Linked DNA regions of Drosophila melanogaster. The protein of the gene in region 1 interacts with the protein of each later gene in a pairwise test. Each region holds a gene or a part of one and is shown in the gene's direction. Other genes may lie near its edges.

What was found. The genes of interacting proteins can lie anywhere in the genome.
Region 2: the proteins of Lcp2 (region 1) and Rcd7 interact in a two-hybrid assay, tested with the Drosophila melanogaster proteins (one large-scale study listed by BioGRID).
Region 3: the proteins of Lcp2 (region 1) and CG5390 interact in a two-hybrid assay, tested with the Drosophila melanogaster proteins (one large-scale study listed by BioGRID).

The regions. Positions count from the first base shown.
Region 1 is NT_033778.4:8,431,409-8,438,846, reverse strand, and holds Lcp2 (larval cuticle protein 2), read left to right. Parts: upstream 1-4,061; 5' UTR 4,062-4,313; coding exon 4,314-4,325; intron 4,326-4,387; coding exon 4,388-4,756; 3' UTR 4,757-5,050; downstream 5,051-7,438. Other genes in the region: Lcp4 (larval cuticle protein 4), read right to left, coding at 756-1,082, 1,140-1,151; Lcp3 (larval cuticle protein 3), read right to left, coding at 2,964-3,290, 3,347-3,358. UniProt on the Drosophila melanogaster protein: Component of the larval cuticle.
Region 2 is NT_037436.4:19,543,193-19,550,069, forward strand, and holds Rcd7 (reduction in Cnn dots 7), read left to right. Parts: upstream 1-1,917; 5' UTR 1,918-1,988; coding exon of another isoform or gene 1,989-2,090; 5' UTR 2,091-2,116; coding exon of another isoform or gene 2,117-2,328; 5' UTR 2,329-2,357; intron 2,358-2,411; exon of another isoform or gene 2,412-2,490; 5' UTR 2,491-2,491; coding exon 2,492-2,772; intron 2,773-2,940; coding exon 2,941-3,524; intron 3,525-3,580; coding exon 3,581-3,909; 3' UTR 3,910-3,925; coding exon of another isoform or gene 3,926-4,037; 3' UTR 4,038-4,101; downstream 4,102-6,877. Other genes in the region: CG46434 (uncharacterized protein), read right to left, coding at 1-878; Ltn1 (listerin E3 ubiquitin protein ligase 1), read right to left, coding at 1,290-1,349, 1,413-1,580, 1,655-1,846, 2,117-2,328, 3,926-4,037, 4,105-4,539, 4,607-4,882, 4,940-5,123 and 3 more; CG46435 (uncharacterized protein), read left to right, coding at 1,989-2,090.
Region 3 is NT_033779.5:10,301,293-10,308,252, reverse strand, and holds CG5390 (uncharacterized protein), read left to right. Parts: upstream 1-1,658; 5' UTR 1,659-1,741; intron 1,742-2,743; 5' UTR 2,744-2,747; coding exon 2,748-3,104; intron 3,105-3,170; coding exon 3,171-3,426; intron 3,427-3,483; coding exon 3,484-4,091; 3' UTR 4,092-4,184; downstream 4,185-6,960. Other genes in the region: CG4968 (uncharacterized protein), read right to left, coding at 282-695, 760-1,059, 1,134-1,208; nmd (no mitochondrial derivative), read left to right, coding at 4,417-4,598, 4,655-5,582; CG13138 (uncharacterized protein), read left to right, coding at 6,298-6,309, 6,394-6,960.

The DNA.
Region 1 (7,438 bases):
GTTTTTGCCAACTCTCTACTCCTAGATTTGAAGTTTATACTAGATGATTGACAATGTGAAGGGTATTGTATAACAGGTAGTCGATCGTTAAAGCCATGTTTGCATCAGGGTTTTTTTTCCAGTGTAACGCTCTCAAACCGTCTCATTTTGGCACCGAAATTCTTTCAAAAAAATGGTTATTTTAACTTTTTTCTTACAAATTTCTATCGGTGTACCACCAACATTTAAACCGAGTAATAATAATAATAAGTATTCGAAAATTTCACTATACCGTTCTTTACTGTTCTTTTAACAATATGAAGATGAAGAGTAAACGCAAGCAATTCCAATCCGGTTATATTTTGCTCAGCCATGACTTTTGTTTAATGAAATATTTTATTGCATTTAAAACTGTAATAAACAGACCGAATTTATACCTAAATCTGGTTTGATGGTCTTCACTTTATGTATCGCTAATTAAACAGGTTACTATTGGCTAAGATCAATCACGTAACATCCAGACAGTTCGTGATAATCTGAAGCAGCGTTTGTTCCCTCGGCCAAAATAAATCAGCCATAAACAAGGTAACTCCTGCTGCCGTCAGGGAAATTAAGACCATATCTAAATAGATTTGTTGCCAAAGAGTATCGAATTTATTTCCTAACTCGATAATCATTTATAATGTCTGCATGCTGTTTAAATTCTAAGGGTTAGAGGGCAAGGTCTTTGGAGTTGCACCTCCGATTCGAATGTGGGTCCTGGTCGTGTCGATTGCTTATTCCTTGCTGGGATGGGCCTGGATGTAGGCGATGGCCTTCAGGATGGCCTCTGGGATTGGAGGAGGAGTGGGCAGGAGGTCGCTCTGGGGCTGGTATCCGTTCTCGTCGGCCTTGTAGCTCACACGGACGTGTTCGCCCTCGGGGGAGACCCACTCGAAAACTCCGTCGATGTTTCCGTGGACATCTCCGGTAGCAGAAGCAGCGGAACCGTTGTCCAGGACCAACTTGCTTACGAAGCCATCGGCTTGGACATCGTTGACCAGCTCCTTGACCTCGGGATTCTCGTTGGCGGCCACCAGGGCGACAAGGGCGCAGACAAGCAGCTAGGATATTCCGGGATTACTCATTGAACTGTCCGGCTTTAAACTTCAGATACTTACGATCTTGAACATTTTGACTTGGTTAGATTGTCAGACTAAAGAACTCGTGAGACTGATGCCAATTCGGGATCACTCGTCGGCTTTTATACGCTTATACGCACTCCCCACGAAATCTTAAAGCTGATCAAAAGCTGATGCAACCCGTTTTTAATTAACATTTCGGCCAGCATAGGTCTCGTTTGGTTTTACGGACTGGTTCAAGTGACATGCTTGGTGGCGATAAAAATCGTCTGCTGCACTCTTTTTGATTTCTATTGTCTATGCAAATCGCTACCGTAATTATTCTAAAAAGAATCGGGTTACTCGGAAAAGGGTAAGTCCACCTTCTCATTGAAATAATTTAACATCTTCCGGAATATTTAGTCAGATAACTTTGAATTACTCCAGACAAATCATATAAAAATAACTTGATTGAATAATGTCTAAGCTGCTGATAGTAGAAGTTTAATTATTAGGAGGTGAAAAATAACTAGAAAACAAAACTTTTTTGCGAACCGCTTGTAGATCCAGCATACCTTTCGGAGCATCATTTGGTTTCTATCTGCGAAATGACTGGGAACGGGTTTATGGAATCTAACATTCTGTGTTCACCACCCTCAAGACTTGACTGACCGGGACTTGACATAAATCCTACTAAATTAAAATCTGCATAAACATTCTATTCCTCAAAAACTCTTACTCATATAACCTTTGTAAATAACATAGATATTAAGAATAGTTTAAATTGATACCGATAAGATTGGGTTGCCTAAGAAGAGCGTACTATTGCTAGTCAATTAAATTATTGTAAATAATTTCGTTTAATAAAAAAAAACATTGTGTGTATATTTTATCTCTAGTTTCCGTTAAGTCAATATGAACATTCCCGTGGAGTTTGACATATACAATGTATACGATTCTTACTTATACAATCACTATTAAACACTTAAGTTACAATATCATAATATAATCAAAAATCCGAAAGCACAGCAATTTGATTGATATTTCTCCAAAAATCACTACAAGATCTTATAACCGTGTAACCTCAGGGAAGTCTGTGTTATTTTTTGTTACGTGTATGACTATTTAAAAAAGGTTAAAAAAAAGATGAAGAATTTGATTTTTACATCTAGGCTTATAATGCCAATTTCAGTTATATTCATAAAAAGACCAATATAAAAACAAAAATTCGACTCGGCTAGTGATAATGATGATGAATATACATACTTTTTAGGTTCGAAAACGCTTCATAATACCCTTAATACCCATAATACCGACATGCGTTCTAACAATTCAAGTGTACCCTTATCCTCTACAAATAATAGATATAAAAAAGTTCCTCGTCGTTTTCATCATACTGCGATCTTATCTGGGATGCATCAGGTTGGCAACATTTAATTACTTGTGGCTGCCTATGAACTTAACTTAAAATAATAACTAGTTATAACCCAGTTTTCGGAAATATGAAATTAATGCAAGGAGATATCGGCTTGTCCAGGTAAGATTTTTGTAATGTTTACATTTATTTTAGATGCTTTAAAGATTTTTGTATTTAAATTAATTTCGTACTATACTATAACAACACAATTGTAATTTAATGAAGGCCAAAGTGTCTTTGATTACTTTTAATCTTCTAATTGTACCTTCTTATACCATATAATACCGGGAGCCTTCTCTTAAATCGAACTGTCAGATTTGTAAAACATGCACTTGGTTTATATTGCAAGGTTTAATTTATTTTCGAATTCGATAACATTTTCCTTAAATTTAAAACAACTGGTAAGAAATTATCCAAACTCAACCTAGCTGTCTCCAATCTTTCATGTTCCTAGTCGGCGGGTTCACTTAGTTCTTGCTGGGGTTAGCCTCGATGTAGGCGATAGCCTTCAGGATGGCAGCTGGGATCGGAGGAGGAGTGGGCAGCAGGTCACTCTGGGGCTGGTATCCGTTCTCGTCAGCCTTGTAGCTCACTCGCACATGGACACCCTCGGGGGAGATCCACTCGAAGACTCCGTCGATGTTGCCGTGGATGTCTCCGGTGGCGGAGGAGGCAGATCCGTCGTCGAGGACCAACTTGCTGACAAAGCCATCGGGCTGGACATCGTTGACCAGCTCCTTGACCTCCACATTAGCGTTGGCGGCCACCAGGGCGGCGAGAGAACAGACAAGCAGCTAGGATAATCCAGGATTAGACTGCGAAGTCACTATGCTCCTCAAGGCATACTTACGATCTTGAACATTTTGATTTGGGTGGATTGTCGGACTAGAAATCTTCTAAGACTGATGACAATCTATGCTCAAATCGGTGTTTATATATCATCAAAAGCTGATGCAATGTGCGTATTATAATTAAGTCAATGTGATGCATATAATAAAAACCGTCTGGGATGCAAATTAGTCGACTTGAGATGGCTTAACCACTTTCATTAGGAGATGAGCATTCTTAGTTATTTATTCAACTGAAATATTCGCCCTAGTCTAACCGAAATGCAAAGCAAACCGGACCAGAAACCAGAATAATTATTAAGCAGTACAATATTTAATTTTCTAAAATTCAACTTCAATATGAACTAAACTTAAGCATAGCATAGTTTTCGGTGTTTCATTTGGTGTGTGGCACGTTGACAACTCTGGCCAAAAGCTTTGCGGGTTTTTTTAAATTAAACAGTGACATCCAAAATATTGAGATACAACAAAATGTCATAGGCAACTAGCACGTTAATATGCAGTATCACTTGCGAAATCGTTTATTCCGGTATATTGTTTATTACCACTTCGGAACCTTTTAAAATAGATGGGACTGCTATCAAGTGAAGTGTATTGGGTTTTTTGATTTTGTACAGGCATGATTGATAAAGACTTGGTCAACTCGAAACGTCATCGATGAGCACAGAATCCGAAAACCGTACTCCATCGCCCCTACAAAATTTCTACCGAAGCATGTTTCATTTCGGAATCTGTTCAGCAGCGCAAGACTTGTTTTTTGACATTTGTATCGCAGAGTCAAGTGGAGAATTTATGGGCCCTGCCTTTTGTTGGCATCATGGGCGTTTCGTGATAACTTAGATTTGGCCCAAAAAGTAATAAGCAATTCGTTTGGAAAGCAACCAAATTGGGAATCATATAAAAAGACTCTGTCGACCAAAGTCAGTTATCAGTCAACGTTCGTTCTCGACCAGACAGAAATCAGCCAACATGTTCAAGTTTGTGAGTGGCTCACAGGACATTTATGAACTCGCCATCTAATTGGTATCATTTCCTCTATCCAGGTGATGATTCTCGCCGTTGTGGGAGTGGCTACCGCCCTAGCCCCAGTTTCCCGCTCCGATGATGTACACGCTGATGTCCTTTCCCGATCGGACGACGTTCGTGCCGACGGATTCGACTCCAGCCTGCACACCTCAAACGGAATCGAGCAGGCCGCCAGCGGTGATGCCCATGGCAACATCCACGGCAACTTCGGCTGGATCTCACCCGAGGGCGAGCACGTTGAGGTAAAGTACGTCGCGAATGAAAACGGATACCAGCCCTCGGGAGCCTGGATCCCCACTCCTCCTCCAATCCCAGAGGCCATCGCCCGCGCCGTTGCCTGGCTGGAGTCTCACCCCCCAGCACCCGAGCACCCCCGTCATCACTAGGACTCGTCACCCGGATCCCGGACCACTCCACGGACTGTTCTCCCGAAACAAATCGCCCAAGTTGTTTAGCTGTACTTCTTGACTTTCAAAAAAATACATGCACTTGCTTATAGCAGTAAAAATGTGTGTGTTCTTCATTGCACTTTTTAGGTAGTTCCTGTAATAATACGAGCTTTTATACCTCTACCTTCGCTGGGAATGCTTCCTTCTACCTTTTATATTCGATTCACTAAATCCATTTATCAAAAATGAGTATATGTGTCCATAAAGAAAAGATGTGCTGAATTAAAAATTAATTTTGTCTTTTAAAATTTGAGAAGGATCTGGGCAGTCTAAAAGATCTGAAAAACAAAAAAGCAAATGTTTGCATACAATTTTATTCTCACTAAAAGTCTCAATGCATTTTTTTTTTATTTTAAGTAGTATTTAAAAGCCAATTAGAGAAGCCAATACCAATGGACAAACTTATTGAAATAGAAAAGCAATGGTCAATGCCACACGAGCCGATTACCCTAGTATATACTCGTAGTACTAATCCCGTGGATTGCCATGCGATGCTTTTTAATGGGTGTGGGGTATCTTCATAGTCAACCCAGATTTCAGAGCACCAATCGTATGAAAGATGTAGCGTATTGACTTGGGTTCAGTTTTGGTGGTTATCAGTCAACGTTCGTTCTCGAGCAAACAGAAATTGGAATCTAAAATGTTCATGCTCGTGAGTAACGGCAGGATACGAACGTATTCAATGTCTATGCTCTCGTTCACGTGGTGATCTGTGCAGTTTTTGGATTGAGTGGCTCATCCCCCATCCCCCATCCGTAGGACGTTTCGAAAGTGACAACGCCGATGTCCACTACCAATCATACGATGTTTATACCGATGGATTCGATTCCAGCAGTCTGCACATATTCAACGGAATCGAGCGGGCCGCCAAAGCAGATATCGATGGTATTTTTCAGGGCACTATAAAATGGATCACCCCCGAGGGCGATCACGTCGAGGTCACGTACGACGCTGGTGAGAACGGATACCAGGCTTCGATCAGCCTTGATTCCGACTCCTGCACCAATCCCGAAGGCGTTCCACTGACCGGTACCCGAGCATCCGCACCATCACCAAGACTCTTCACCCCGATCTCAGACCCATCCACCGACTTTCCATCGACATGTTATATATTATTCAATAAAGTTTTTTACCCGACATAAGTAAATGGTTTCAAAAAGAGAGAAGAATCACCATGAACGGCATTCCACGTAGTGACGAAGCGCACCAGAGAGTACAAAGACAACTTCTATCTGCTGTAGTTGTCTTATTATATTGTGTGATAACCAATAGAAAGGCAGCATAAAAAGTAAAGAGATTGAACCGTAAAATAATCTAAGAAGATAATGAGATAAAAACATACGAAGATAAACTGAAATGATAATACCCGTTACTCGAAAGTAAAATGGAATACTAGGAAAATTATGTAACAGGTAGAAGGAGGCGTTTCACACCATATAAAGTATATATATTTTTAAAAGCGATCAATAGCAGAGTATGTCCGTATGAACGCCTCGACTTCAAAAACTAGAGAGTTAAGATTAGATATGAAGATTCCAGAGGCCCACAAACGGCCTAAAACTGCCACGCCCACACGTTTTGAACAATTCAATAATTTTTTTCATATTATTATTTGTTTCCAAATTTTTACCGATATTCAAAAAAGTATTGAAATATATCGGTCACACTTCCAGCTGAGTATAGCATTCTCTCTTTTTAAAATAAGACTGGGAATTTGTTTGGTTGTTTGTCTGTCTGCAAATGCACCTCAAATAAATAATGTCATAAAGCGTCCCGAACGAGTAACTTTTAGATATTGTATTGTCTTAGTTGAATAAAAACTCTATTTTCGTCACAACAGTTAATATTAGAAGCTTGGATTGTTAAAGGTGCGATAGTCACTAGCATAAATCTCAGAAGAGGCTATTCTGTTTGATTACAAATTAATCTTAACTTTCAAACCAAATTTGTGAGGATACTGTGCGGTCTAACTGATCTGAAAAACAAACTATTCAAGCTCTTATATTAGATGTTCGGCTTGCACATTTAAATACCATGAAATGTATCTATAGGAATTATAAATTTTAAGTAAACTTTTAGTTTATATGCCTATACAGACAAGTAAATATCCTCTTTAGGTTAACATTAGGTTTTCTTAACAATTTTAATTGTCACTAAAAAACTATGTATTTCGGTAGCCTCCTATATGGAACAGGTCTTATTATCTTATTTAATTTTACGAAATATAAAAAAATAATATAAGGCGCTATGCATATGAAATATAATGTAAAACACACTTGAATTTGTTTAAAAGCAAACTGCAACCTGTTCGTCGAGAGGAATTGATAAAAAAAAGAAGAAATGGTGCCAAGGTAGAGACACACGTTTATATATTACAAAACATCGAGTCTAAGAAGTCGGCGATGCTTTGTAGTCCATGGAGTCTTGATGGGACTACAAAAGTGGTTCACGGCCTGGCAATGCCAAGTCAAGCTCAAAGGAGGGGATTTAATGAAGGGGCGGGTCAAACTCGTTTCGATTTCGGGATGCCACCCGACCCGTTTGCCCCTTATTGATGCGATTGTTTCATTTTAGCATCTATTAAGCGATTATATATAGTACTTATCCCGTTGTTTGGCA
Region 2 (6,877 bases), on another chromosome or scaffold:
TTTTTAGCAGGCGGCTCTTCGTTCTCCCACCAAGAACACTGCGAGGACCGCTTTTTAATCTTCCGCATCATATCCTGCTCCTCGGTCAGCATGGCCACAATGACCTCGGCATTTCCCTTCAAAGACTCGGATGATTCACTGCAGGCCGGATCACGCCCAAACTCCTTCTCTACCAACCCCAATACACATCCAGTGATCGCGTCAACATTTTTTGATTTATCCTCCTTCGCAGATCCCTTCGGGACATCCTTTTCTCCCAATTTATCCTGTGAATTGTAACTATCTTTAAGCTCCTCCTGGGCGCAGGGATCTTTATCTATAACCAATTCCTCCAGTAAACTATGACTTTTATTCAATTCATTCGGGTTGTACGAGCATTCTTCCAAGTTTTCTGGTGAACTTTTATCATTGTTTAAATGCTCCTGTTGGCAAGAATCTTCTTCCATTTTCTCCTCGAAATCTAAAACGTCTTGAATTCGGCTCCTTCTGTTTGACATCCGCGTTGGTTTTTTTAATTCGATTTTTTTAGGTTCATACATCCCAAGTATTTCTTTCTTCCTCTTCGTAAAACTTGATTTTCTGTTCCTAGTATCTATCTTCGATTTACTCTGGGAGAGCGGAGCTTTTATAGTTTTTTTGGCTATTAACTTCCTTACAGAAATGTTCCTTCCCTTTCTCATCGAAACTCGCTCTTTTTTGGTTATATTACCTTGTACTTTTTCCTCCTGATCTTGCGTCTCCTCCTCGGATTCCAAATGAAGTGGTGGCTGCACTTCGTTTACCAGTTTAGAAATCCTTTTGGCATCCTGTGCGGACAGCATGTTGATAGGTCTTAAGTCTTTGGCCACATGACGATTACAATATGGGCACTGACCCATTACTTTTATTCTTGTAGCCATAATATAAAAAGTTCTTGATTATCCACTGACAGCATTAAATATATTGTAAAATTGTATTGTGTTGTACAGTGTTGTTGTGAGTACTGATATCGTTTGAGAACTGTTTTAGTAAAACAAACTTGTTATTTGCTATGGATTACCCTTCCACGACATACTTTGTTTCAAACTTTTAATTTTTCTTTAATTTTAATGCACTATTTAGTTTTTACAATTAAATAATTTCAATCCCTGCACTATATATATATTCAAGAACATTAAAACATTGTAAGATTTATTAATATTGCTGATTTACAATTTGTGAGACCTGAAACTATTTCCTATATCGAATGGTTTGGTTGTGCCTTTTGCTCAATACGTGTTGCTAAAATTGTTAATGATATATACACACATCTAGAAGACGTTGCGGCAAATGGGACAGGTGGACTTGCTGCTTGTGGTAAACCATTTATACTAAAAAAAATGTAATCATTTCGTTAGATCGGAGAAAAAAAAAGCAGCTTGGAGGAGTCTTACCAAACAAGGTCCGTGGAATTTCTTCTTGCACGTTTTACACGTTAGTTTGGGTAGCTGGCAAGTCTCCTGGTGGATAACAGTATAGCACACGTAGCACTCTTCAACGCCCTCGAATTTTTTGTCTAAGTTGTTTTTCCACATAGTTAGGCCGTCATATATGGTGCCATTCTGCATAAGACAATTTTAATATTATTATTCAGCGGACATCGAGTAACATACGAAATGTATCAATATCAATATACCTGGTGTGTCAGGAAGATGGTCAACTGCATGCCGACATTTCGGGAGGAAGCACGTCCGCCGATCTGCTTGCCGCACTCGACCTTAACAGCTCCCAGTGGATAATTGGGAGCCAGCGTTATTACAAGTTCCATGCGTGCCTCATCGATGGCGTAGACCGCTAGCACTTCGCGGGTGGAGGAATGAACGGTAACCTAGAATAGAGAAATGTCAACTTTAGTCACATAGTTCAGTAGACTATGATTGTTTGGGATTTACAAAATATCCAAAGTTTTTTTATTCAACGGAAATTTAAATATATAGCGAAAGCACACTTATATCCCTTCTAGCAGAGATATGGTGCCTCTTGAGATATTTCGCGTTATTGTCATTATCATACTGCTGATTAGCATCACCGTGGTTTTTTCCCTTCGGCTAAGCACCCCAGAGCAAGAATAAAGACTTGAAAGGACACATCCGCTTACCTGCATATTCTCGTGCTTCTCCTTGCGATTGGCGATCGCTTTGAGCTCCTCGCTGCAAATCAAAGAACTCACGTAGTTTGTGGTCAGGTTGTCTATGAAGTTCTTCTGCCTGGACTGAGTGGCGTTCCACCACCTGCGCACCACGGCAGGCAGCTTGCGGAGCACCTCCGTGTACAAGTGGCAGGCATATCGCTCCAGGGGTAGATGTCGATCTGCAAAATGGATCAAGAAATGTAACAAGGCAAGCCAGGCTGCGAGTAGTCAAATTATGTTTATATAGAAAACAGTTCACTTTAAATCATTAGTCTCCTACCGTTCTGTGTATTGATCCGCTTCTTATTTTTTTTTTTTTGTATTTCCGTTCTATTTGAAAGCATGGAAAACCCAATAAACTTCAAGGATATACCCTCCGAGATGCCGCAGCCAAAGCGCATTCAACTTGAGGGCGAGACTTCGGTGGCCGAAGCCATAAACTTCCTGAAGACGCAATGCGATACGCGCAAGGAGCACAAGCCTGAGGAGTTTCAGCAGGATGGACCAACCGTAGCGGACGAGTTAAACGCTCGCCTGGCCATGGTTCATGTGCGCGAGACTCGTGCCAAACGCATTCGCCGCTTAGTTAAGTTTTCCCCCAATGAGACGCAAGCATTGTACAGGTAAGTAAGTATCAAGTTTTTCCATATCCAATACATGCATATTTTCGGAATTGCTTTGGCTTTTGGAATGTTTTTTCATAAATTAAATCAGACTTTTAACTTTCCTTTTTTACTATAAACAATAAACGATTCGATTAAAACCAATACAATATATACATTGGCCTGAAGGTTCATCTGTGTCTGTCCCCGCTACCATCCTTGCTATGTGCCCTGCCAACACACGGGACAAATAATCATCGACCGGGACGTGTTGTCCCGCGAGGAACACATATGTTTTCTAGCTACACCCAAGAAGGACTTCTCCTCACCCCAGTTGGCCAAACAGGCGCGCTACTACACCAAAAAGATCTACGTTAACCAATGTACAGCACGGGTTGAACGACTTGCCGATCCTCACCCAATGCGAGTGAGTGACACATACAATTTCTTTAAGGACTACCTCTCGCCTCGTCATATAGCGGCTCTAGAGAACCAGATGAAACCCAAACCTCCGGTAGAAGCCATGTCAATGGAGAAGGCGCTGGAATACATGGAGGAGGAGATGCGTCAGCGCAAGGCAGCGAAGCGTGTCCAAAAGCGACGATGCAAGGGTCTAAAAAAACGAATCATTTTGCGCCAGCGCAAGCAGATGCAAAAGATAATTTGCGTACTGTTCGAGGAAATGAAGGACTTTCTACTCAACGATCAGTTTATTGTTGACGAGAACTCCCCTCTATGTTGCGTAATTCTTGAGAGACTTCGAGAATTTACAGGTAAGTTGAATCTAACTGGGACACTTCAAAAATTAACTAATTGAAATCATCAAAAGATCAAGAATTCTATACGACAAGTAATTTGCAAGAGTATCAGAGGATATTGGCCAACAACCTAACCGTTTGGGTCAACAAGTTCATATCAAACTTAAACATTTACTTGACACCTCAGCAAATACCTGTAAAACGACAGATGATGGCAGAGAACGATCCCGAACAGTTTGTGCCCTTGTCAGATTTCATTTCTGTATCCGATGAGGCGGATGCAGAGGAAATGATGAACGATGTCGAGCACGGAGCCGCTGAATATGACGACTATGGATATGGGGAGGACTACTTGCCCGACGTTCTCAATACGGATATATCGGAGGAAACAATAATCTAAGTAATGTTCAGCTTACCCTTCTGCTGAGACCAGGTCAGCTCTTTGTAAACGCCGTTGCTGTGGACCTTGGCACCGTGGTTCTTAAGTATGTCCACGGGCATTGCGCGGAAAAGGAAGTGAAGGAAATTCTGTGGAGCAAAGAAATTGAAAGTGTAAATTTAAAATTATTAGTAAATTTAATGTATCGTTTCCAACCTCTTCGTATTTGTTATCATTCAGCCAATTGGTGTAAACAGCGCGCAATGCAACTGGAGACTTAGCGCAAGCATTGATAATACAATCCCATAAGAAAAGGTAACTCAGTGCATTGTGTCTGTCTATGGGTTCGAGATCATCCAGCTCTGATAGCTTGAACGTGAACTCTTCCAGGTATTTAGTTATCAGTGCATCGTAGCGTGTTAGATAGTCCTCAAAGCGATTGAGGAAGTGCCACTTGCAAATCGTTGTGCTGGCGTCTAGACTCTCACTTTGTTTCTCATTCAGCTCTATGTCGTCCGCCACAAAGTGTGGCGTTAATTGGCGAAGCGAGTGTACAGCACTTAATCGAACTGAGTGCTGGACACTATAAAGCTGCTTGAACAGGAAATTGCAGAGGTGGTCCAAGGTGATGTTACTATTTGACTTGCAGAACTGAAGTGTAAAAAGGTTTTTGAAGTTATTAGCCATAGAAAAACAACAAAATATTTCACTTGATTACCGAGTACACAAAGCTGTAGTCCAGTCGCTCTATGACCGGTGTTATTTGTTCTAGTAAGGCCTCATAGCATGCCTGAAATCCTGGATCCACACTAACCTCGTGGGTCAATAGGTAATATGACTTAAAGAGCACTAAATTGACTTCCTTGGCAAACAAAGAGTCCCATTCGTCGATCATGTTTTTGAGTAATTCCGTGGAACTCTTTTGCTTCTCGGAGCGTATAAAATCAATAAGGGCGGCAAACAATTCGTAAACAGCCACAATAAAAAGCGAAGTCTTCAATTAAAGATAATTTATTATTAATTATGAAAGAAATTTATTTATAAAGCCTACCTTTGGGTCTTGGTATTGTGCTATAGATTTTGAAACAGAAAGCACCCAAGAACTAAGGCCAATGCGAATAGCGTCCCAGTTCTTTATACTCAATTCGTATGGAAAACGTTTTAAAACTTCAGTTAAAAGCTTTATGAACTCCACTGTATTTATAACTGATTCGTAGGGTTGCCTTTGAATTTCTCTGAAAAATACAAACTTGGGTTTTGAATCATATACATTTTATGAAAATTATATTGTCTTACACATTATAATGGAGTAAATCCTTCTGGCTGGCTTGCCTTTCCCCTATGCTGGTCATAAACTGTACGGCTGATACAATTATATTGCGATCCGTTTGCTCATTCACATCGCCTTCAAAATTGTTTAATAGTAGAGCATGAAACACTGCTGCCTTAACCCAAATTTCAGGCGGTTCTGTTCCCATAATCGCAGAACTAAGAGTGATCGCTTTTTGAGAAAGCTTCGGTAAGAGAAACTGTAAGACACAAGGCATTATTAAGTGTTCCTGGATTTCTTTTAGAATTCCTACCTGTAGAGCTATTACATAGGTCTTGAGCGCTCCCTGCGTCACTAGATTTTCTGACAGATCTTCATGTAGCAAAATGGAGGCACTCTCTTCGAAAGCCGCATACTGTGGGCAAAATCTAAGGTAACTTAAAAGACGACAGTCAATTACGCTGGACTGCTGCACAGCCGCTTGCTGAAGACGCTCCTTTACTATTGCAACCAGATCGCTGCTGTTGCCCATAAAGCTTTGCACTTTCTCCGAAAGGATCAACACTAACTCCTCTGTCGACGATTGCAAGACTGACATTTCCAGCCAGCATTCTGCTGTTCCAGCCACTCGAATGCACTGTAAAAGCTCTGCAATTAAGGGTTCGTTCCATTTTTTGAGCACATCAGCATTTGGATCACAATAGTCCTCGGTCAACTCATCCTCTGGGTCGTTGGTGTCTTGAGGTGGTGGGAATTGATAGACGAGCTTGTAGATTGTAGAAAAGTTGAGTGTGGAACGTTGAAGCAATGGTAGTATTTCATTTCTTGAGAGGCAAGCATTTTCGAACGGAACTCCCGCAGTCACAGATCCGTGCAAGGCTTCTAGGAGTACACAATGGTTCTCAAACTGTTGAACCTTGTCAGTCGTTTTTAGGGGCGTTTCCAGAAGAGCAGTTAATGTTTCATCGATTCGCTCCAAGCGCTTATACTCATCTTCAATATTTTCCGTTGAGCAAATAACAAACTTGGCCATCGCCTCTGCCATTCCATCCAAAGTATCCGCTTTAAGTTCTGCTGAATTTGCCAATTCCTCAACAATCCCTGCGCAACACTTTAGCATGTCATCATCGATTTCGATATCTTTGCTAGAAAGTCCATCCTGCCAGCAAGTGGTAATTTCCCACAGAGTATCCTCCGACAGATAATCCTCTGGTCGGTGCTCCAAACTAAATTTGAACAGTTTGAGGAAGATGTGTTGGCGCACGTGCAGCGAAGAGTTATTGTTGCTGCAAATCACAGGCATTATCTGGGCAATAAAACTGCCACACACTTCCACCGCGTCATCGACAACCGGTTGCTCCAAGGGTCCGCACATGGACAGCAGTATTTTATCCACAGTTTTAGCATTAATGAGTATGTCTCCCGTGTCAGTTTGGAAAAAACACTTGTGAAGCAAGTTCAGCTTCTCCCGATCATTGTCTACAACAACCTCCTCAGCTATCCGCGCAATCATTTCACAAGTTTCCGGACCACTTAGCATTTGCCTCACGGCGGCCTCGGCGCATAGGGGATATGATAGTAGACGATGCAGCAAAAGATTTTGCACGCCATGTTGTGGAAGCTGTAAAGAATAATAATAATTTAATATTTTTTTTATACACTTTAAAATTGGTAACTACCTTCATGAGAGTGTTTTCAATATATTCAAAGCGTTTTCCA
Region 3 (6,960 bases), on another chromosome or scaffold:
TACCGTTAATAAAACTTAATATTTTATAAAACATTAGACAATTTCATTATGTCACTATCACAATCGTTCAAATCAAATAATAAAGATTAGTGTTTAAATAAATTAACATCTACGATATGTGTAAAATCTGTGTTTCCATTGCTGGGCTAATCAATCAATCTCAATCTTATGCAGAACCAAAAGAGAAGGAAAATATTCACCATATATGCAAATAAATGGTAGTTTATTATACATCTTATATACATAAATCGTTTCGTAATCTAGAAACTACTGAGAGCAATTCAATTTGGATACAGTATATCGTAGTGGCCTGGTCGATATATCAGGTAAATTCGGGGCTCGCTTCCCTCGGGGAAATCGTGGGCCTTCACAGTCCCACCTTCGCCACGGTCCAAGTACTCGACACGAACTCCAGCGCCGAGGGCGGTGCATAGAGCGATTATGTGGATGTGATCCGATTCCTTGTACATCGGCTCCACTTCCAGATGGCGGAACGCCTCAATGGTGAGGTCGCCTTCGATGAAATTTTGGTAAAAATCGGCCTCCTCCTGCAGTTTTCCCGAGGTGATCAAACGTAGGTAAACCACCACGTAGTCTGAGTAACCCTGCTCATTGAAGATCTTGTGCAACTCATCTTGGACCGTGCTGTGTCCTCCTGCATTGTCGGGGCTAACGCGCTGGATGACTTCCATGAACTGGACATACAAAAGGCTGCATAAGCATAGGGAATTCGTTTTGCATTTGTACGGCTAAACATACCGTTTCGTGAAAGTCCTCCAATGTAAAACTAGGAAATCCCAGCTGAACGAGCTTCTCCTTGGACTCCTCGGCCAGTTTTTTGAACTCCTGGTAGGCACTGGTGTTTGAGATCAAGTACTCCAAGTAGGAGTAGGCGAAGGCTCGGAAGAAACAATTGCCATCGGGGCGGGTGCGGCGAATGAACTTGTACTTTTTGGACAGATCCTGGATCTTGGCGGTGAAGATCTCGTCGCCACTGTATTCCGCATACAAGCAGGTGAGTGGCAACTGCTCGCTGACCAAGGGAGTTGTGTCGCTGATCTGCAATTATTGAAATTCGGCATTATTTCTCGGTTCATTGTCGCTATTGTGTGTAAGTGTTTCTGCAGACTCACCTCTTTTTCAATATCCCGTTTCTGCTGAATTATTAGTTCGTCGCGATTGCCATCATTATGGGTAAACGGCTCCATGTTTCTCTGAATACTGAACAACTGCGATCGGCGCTTCCTTTCAATTTACTTTACTTTGTATTCATTTGATGAACTAAAAAGAATTCCTGTTCATCATATGTATGTGTAGGCGCATCAAATGTCACACACACAGGTCTAGAGGCGAAACTCACGGACACACTGATGCTTTCGATTTTGTCGCACAGCTATCGTTATCGGGCTTCAATTCCAGTTGTTCCTTGGCTCGAGAATAAAAATAAATAAATATTTGAAATCGCATTTTACAAACACGCTAAACCATTAAAACGGTTTTTAATAACAAATATACGTACATAATTTGTGTATGTTTATTATCTATAAATTTATAAAATAAAATAAAACTTTGAACTGGTTTTCCGCTGTGTAATACGTAAGCTGGGAACTTCAATTGGAACCAGCTTTCAAAGCTTCTCGTCAGAAGATCATCGGCTGAGACTTAAGATTGAATAAGAAATCAATTCAGTTGAGTGTTTTCTTCATTGCTCAGCGAACGTTGCGCTACTTTGATAAATTAAGTAAGTCTTACTAATAGAGTACACTTTATACTAAATAAAATTGGACTCAAATTCAATTTATTGAAAATGTGTAGTTCAGTTATGTGGATATCTGATAGAGTTTAATCTTTTTGGTGGTTTCTATGTCTTGTAACATCTACAATACATTTTTCATCCATATATGTATGTACATGTGTATATACATATTTTAATCAATCAAAAAGATCTTAAAGTTCAATGAATAAAGTGTACAAAATATCACCGCCTCACGTACTTTTATGAGCACAAATCAGCGGCAATGGGAATACATTTATATATGTTAATGAAGAAGAATTGTATAATGCTAAGTTTACTCGAAACTAAAACCAGTTTTTGCCCTATTTTATTTGCAAGGAACATATTGTTAGCAAAAATGGTGAACCTTTGTGTGTAAATGGCAATTAATTAGTGTGTTATAACTTATTATTAACTCTTGCGAAAAATGGAGGGATTGCGCTTACACATAAGAAACTATTTTTGTGTTTTAAAGTAATTATACATGCTTTGTTTTTATTGACAGCGAAAATTGACCCACCGCAATACATTAGCATTTCTTATCGCCAAAAGTCATATTTAAACAAAAAAGCAATCAGGATTGATAATGAGGCGATCTAAAAGAAACAATACGTACATATGTATATATTTGCTCGGAATTTTAGTATTCAAAAAAGAAAGCAAAGCCTCACTGATAAGACAATACATTCTAGAGTTAATTAGGTTAATTGTTCGCCGCATAAACATAAACGTATTCGTATCCGCGTCTCCCTTCCATTAAAATGTGTCACTCTGTTTTGGGGGAATCACATTCACCTTTTATCCGGTTTAAGTGCGATATTCCAGCAATAACAATCATTATTATATTACCAATACTCGAGCTTTACTCACTTTGCTTACCTTCATCTTCATCTCTTTCCTCGAATAAGTGAGCTTTCTGACCTTAATTATGTAAATATGTAAAGAGCATGATTTAATTTTGCTTTCCAGGAATATGATATTACTAAATTGCCTAGTAATATGCCTGTGCATATTTTCCTGTGGTGCCCAGGACTCTTCCTTGGACAAATTGATATCGGACATCTTTAAAACGGACGAAACACCCAAACCATCATCCCCTCCCCCGCCAGTGGTGAACCCCAAGGATTCGTCCGGTAGCACGGGATCCGAAAACGGAGGATCGAGTTCAACGCAGTACCAGTCCTGTGGCGATCAAAAGGAGTGTGTTCCTCGCTGGTTGTGCGCCAATGATACGATTAACACCAGTGGCGATGGTATCATTGACATTCGACTTGGTACGGACGCCGAATGCAAGAACTATTTGGATCTTTGCTGTGATCTGCCCAACAAGGTAACACATACATAAATACCAATAAGCTTTGATTACTTAAATTAAACTATAATTTTATTTGTTAAGAGAAAAGATCCGATTTTCGAGTTTAAGCCTGATCATCCCGAGGGCTGCGGTTACCAAAATCCCAACGGCGTTGGCTTTAAGATCACTGGAGCTGTCAACCAGGAGGCCGAATTCGGCGAATTCCCCTGGATGCTGGCCATTCTCCGGGAAGAAGGCAACCTTAACCTGTACGAATGTGGAGGAGCATTGATAGCTCCCAATGTGGTTCTGACCGCGGCGCATTGCGTTCACAACAAACAGCCCAGTAGCATTGTTGGTAAGTGTACATGCCATCTATGCCATCTATGAGATCTAATTATGAACTGGCATTTAGTGAGAGCTGGCGAATGGGATACGCAAACGCAGACTGAGATCAGAAGGCACGAAGACCGATATGTCAAGGAAATAATCTACCATGAGCAGTTCAACAAGGGATCGCTCTATAACGATGTGGCTGTCATGCTGTTGGAAAGTCCATTCACCCTCCAGGAGAACATTCAGACCGTTTGCCTGCCCAATGTGGGTGATAAATTCGATTTCGATCGCTGCTATGCCACCGGCTGGGGCAAGAACAAGTTCGGCAAGGATGGGGAATATCAGGTTATCCTGAAGAAGGTCGACATGCCCGTGGTGCCCGAGCAGCAGTGCGAGACGAATCTGCGCGAAACTCGACTCGGCAGGCATTTCATTCTGCACGACAGCTTCATTTGCGCCGGCGGTGAGAAGGACAAGGACACCTGCAAGGGTGATGGTGGCTCCCCACTGGTGTGTCCAATTGCTGGCCAGAAGAACCGCTTCAAGTCCGCCGGCATTGTTGCCTGGGGCATCGGATGCGGCGAGGTGAACATTCCCGGAGTGTACGCCAGCGTGGCCAAGCTTCGTCCGTGGATCGACGCCAAGTTGAAGATTTGGAGTATTGACCCCAGGCACTATACACCCTAAGAGCAAAATTGTCACTTGAATTTGTGGGTTTTAATCTTCATGCTTCACAATGCTCTCACTTAATATATGCCCAATATGTTAATACTCAAAATTAAAAAAAAAAAAAATCTTTTTATTTTAAGCTGAAAAAATATTTTCGGAACAGTGGAAAAGGAATAGGCTAACAAAAATTGAATTCAGTTGGCAGCAATTTTGAGCTTATCGATGTCAATTTCAGTCGGAGCACCTGGTCACACTGTCGTCGGTGTGCATGGGGAATAAGAACAAGAAAGATTAGATTCGTGCAGGCCAACGTATTTGCTCTAAATAGAATATCTGCAGAAACATGGACAACTTCGGACTGGGCGGATCGGATCTAAGCAAGGGGCAGATATTCCAGGTACTGGTTCGCCTGTCTGTGGCCTCGCTGATCACATATTATTCGGTGAAATGGATGATGAACCAGATGGATCCGACCAGTAAAAACAAGAAAAAGGCCAAAGTTCTGGCTGAGGAGCAGCTTAAGAGGTTTATATTAGACTCATATAGCATATATTGTACATGTGTAAACCTTTTCCATGCAGGCTAGCCGAGCAGGAGGGCTTCAAGCTAAGAGGGCAAGAGTTTAGCGACTACGAGCTTATGATTGCGTCACATCTTGTTGTTCCCGCCGACATAACAGTCAGTTGGGCCGATATCGCCGGTCTGGATTCAGTCATTCAGGAGCTCCGGGAATCGGTGGTGCTGCCAATCCAGCACAAGGATCTCTTCAAGCATTCGAAGCTGTGGCAGGCGCCCAAAGGCGTCCTGCTCCATGGACCACCGGGCTGTGGAAAGACGCTGATAGCGAAGGCGACGGCAAAAGAGGCGGGAATGCGCTTTATCAACTTGGACGTCGCCATTCTTACCGACAAGTGGTACGGGGAATCCCAGAAATTGACTTCTGCTGTCTTCTCGCTTGCATCGCGAATCGAGCCATGCATTATTTTTATTGACGAAATAGACTCATTTTTGCGATCTCGAAACATGAACGACCACGAGGCTACCGCCATGATGAAGACCCAGTTTATGATGCTGTGGGATGGCCTCAGCACGAACGCCAACTCGACGGTGATTGTGATGGGTGCCACGAACAGGCCGCAGGATTTAGACAAGGCCATTGTGCGCCGCATGCCAGCCCAATTCCACATTGGTCTGCCCTCGGAGACCCAACGAAAAGACATCCTGAAGCTGATCCTCCAATCGGAGGAAGTAAGTCAGGATGTCGACTTGAATCGCTTGTCCAAGCTCACAAATGGCTTCTCGGGCTCAGACCTGCGGGAAATGTGCCGGAATGCTTCAGTTTACCGAATGAGGCAGCTCATCACGTCCAGAGATCCGTCAGCTACAGCGCTTGATCGCAACAACGTCCGCATCACCATGGACGATTTGCTGGGCTCGCACTTAAAAATTAAGGAATCAAAGATGCACACGAGCAGCCTATTCTTAGAGAATAGAATCGAATTAGATTAAGCTGACCATTGTTTATTCAAGCTCCCGATATATCCAACTTAAATTTGTATAATAAACTTTTTATTTGCCTTTCGAGAGGAGCTCCAATGTTATGTGTTAATTAACCCTGTTCTCTGCATTCCAAAATGGGTATCCGGAAAACGTAGTTTTGGTAGTCTTGAAAACAGCAACGGATACTGCAGGAAATTACACAATCCATAGCATTTCCGTAAAGCGGAGCTCAATGCACTTTAATTATTACATTTACGGGCTTCTGTGAAATATTCACCTAGAGAAATTTCAAACATTTATAAAGATATTGCACTTGTACACTTCTTCAAACACACACACAACTTGCGTCACGCGACCGTGGGCTTTCAATCGTAAAAAAAAATATAAGTAAACTTGTGCAGTTTTATTCTCTTTTAAAAAGGTCGTTTATTTCTGACGGCATTTCAAAGCTACACATTTGTATATCTAATTAAAAATGAATAAAAACATGCATACATTTTAAATAATCAAACCAAAACAAATTAGTTCTTGATGTTTTTGTATAATTTCTTAATTTAAGAAAAATATAGAGTGTACAAACTTCAAGCGAAGAAATTTGCTTCTGCACATTTTAATTATGTTTCGTGCTCATATAAATACTTTCTTCGATTGGCTCAAATCATTTCTGTTGAAGGCGTTGATTAAACCACTTCAAATCCAAGCGAGACTATATACTTAACAAAAAATGAACCCAATGGTAAGCTATATTTCCAATTTGTCTTTTTGATAGGAGATATTTTGTATGTACATACTTCATTTACGCGCATCCTTTCTATTTCAGTTAACTTTGATTCCTGGATACCTATTCATAACCTTAATAATTATTGGAAGTACTGCACACAGTAATTCCTATGCTGTGAATAAAACCAATAGTGTCGAAAGTGCCGAGTGGAGCTATCCTGAATACGGAAAAGGATCTACTCACAATACCGGAAGAAGATCGGAAAAGCTGGATCTGCAACATTATAATCGGGAAACCGAACGCAATGTGACTTTGAAACGCGGTGTGAAAAACTATCAAAAGCAAGGCGATAAAATGACGAGGAATAAACTGAAATATAAGCCATCTGGTGCTCGAAGAAAAAATGTGAGTCCCAATTATGCGGATGAGAGTACGGAAAGTAGGCATTATCATACATTCGAAGAGATCCACGAGCATATCGATGAGGACGATGGTCAATACCAGGCATCCGAACAGGTCGGAACACAAGCGATTCTGCACGAACATGTCGAGCACTCGAGTAAGAAGGATGCGAAGCGGATGAAGGTGAAAATCAAGCATCATCATCACCACCATCATCACAACCACATAAAGGAGCTGATCAAAACAGTACCACAACCGTATCCC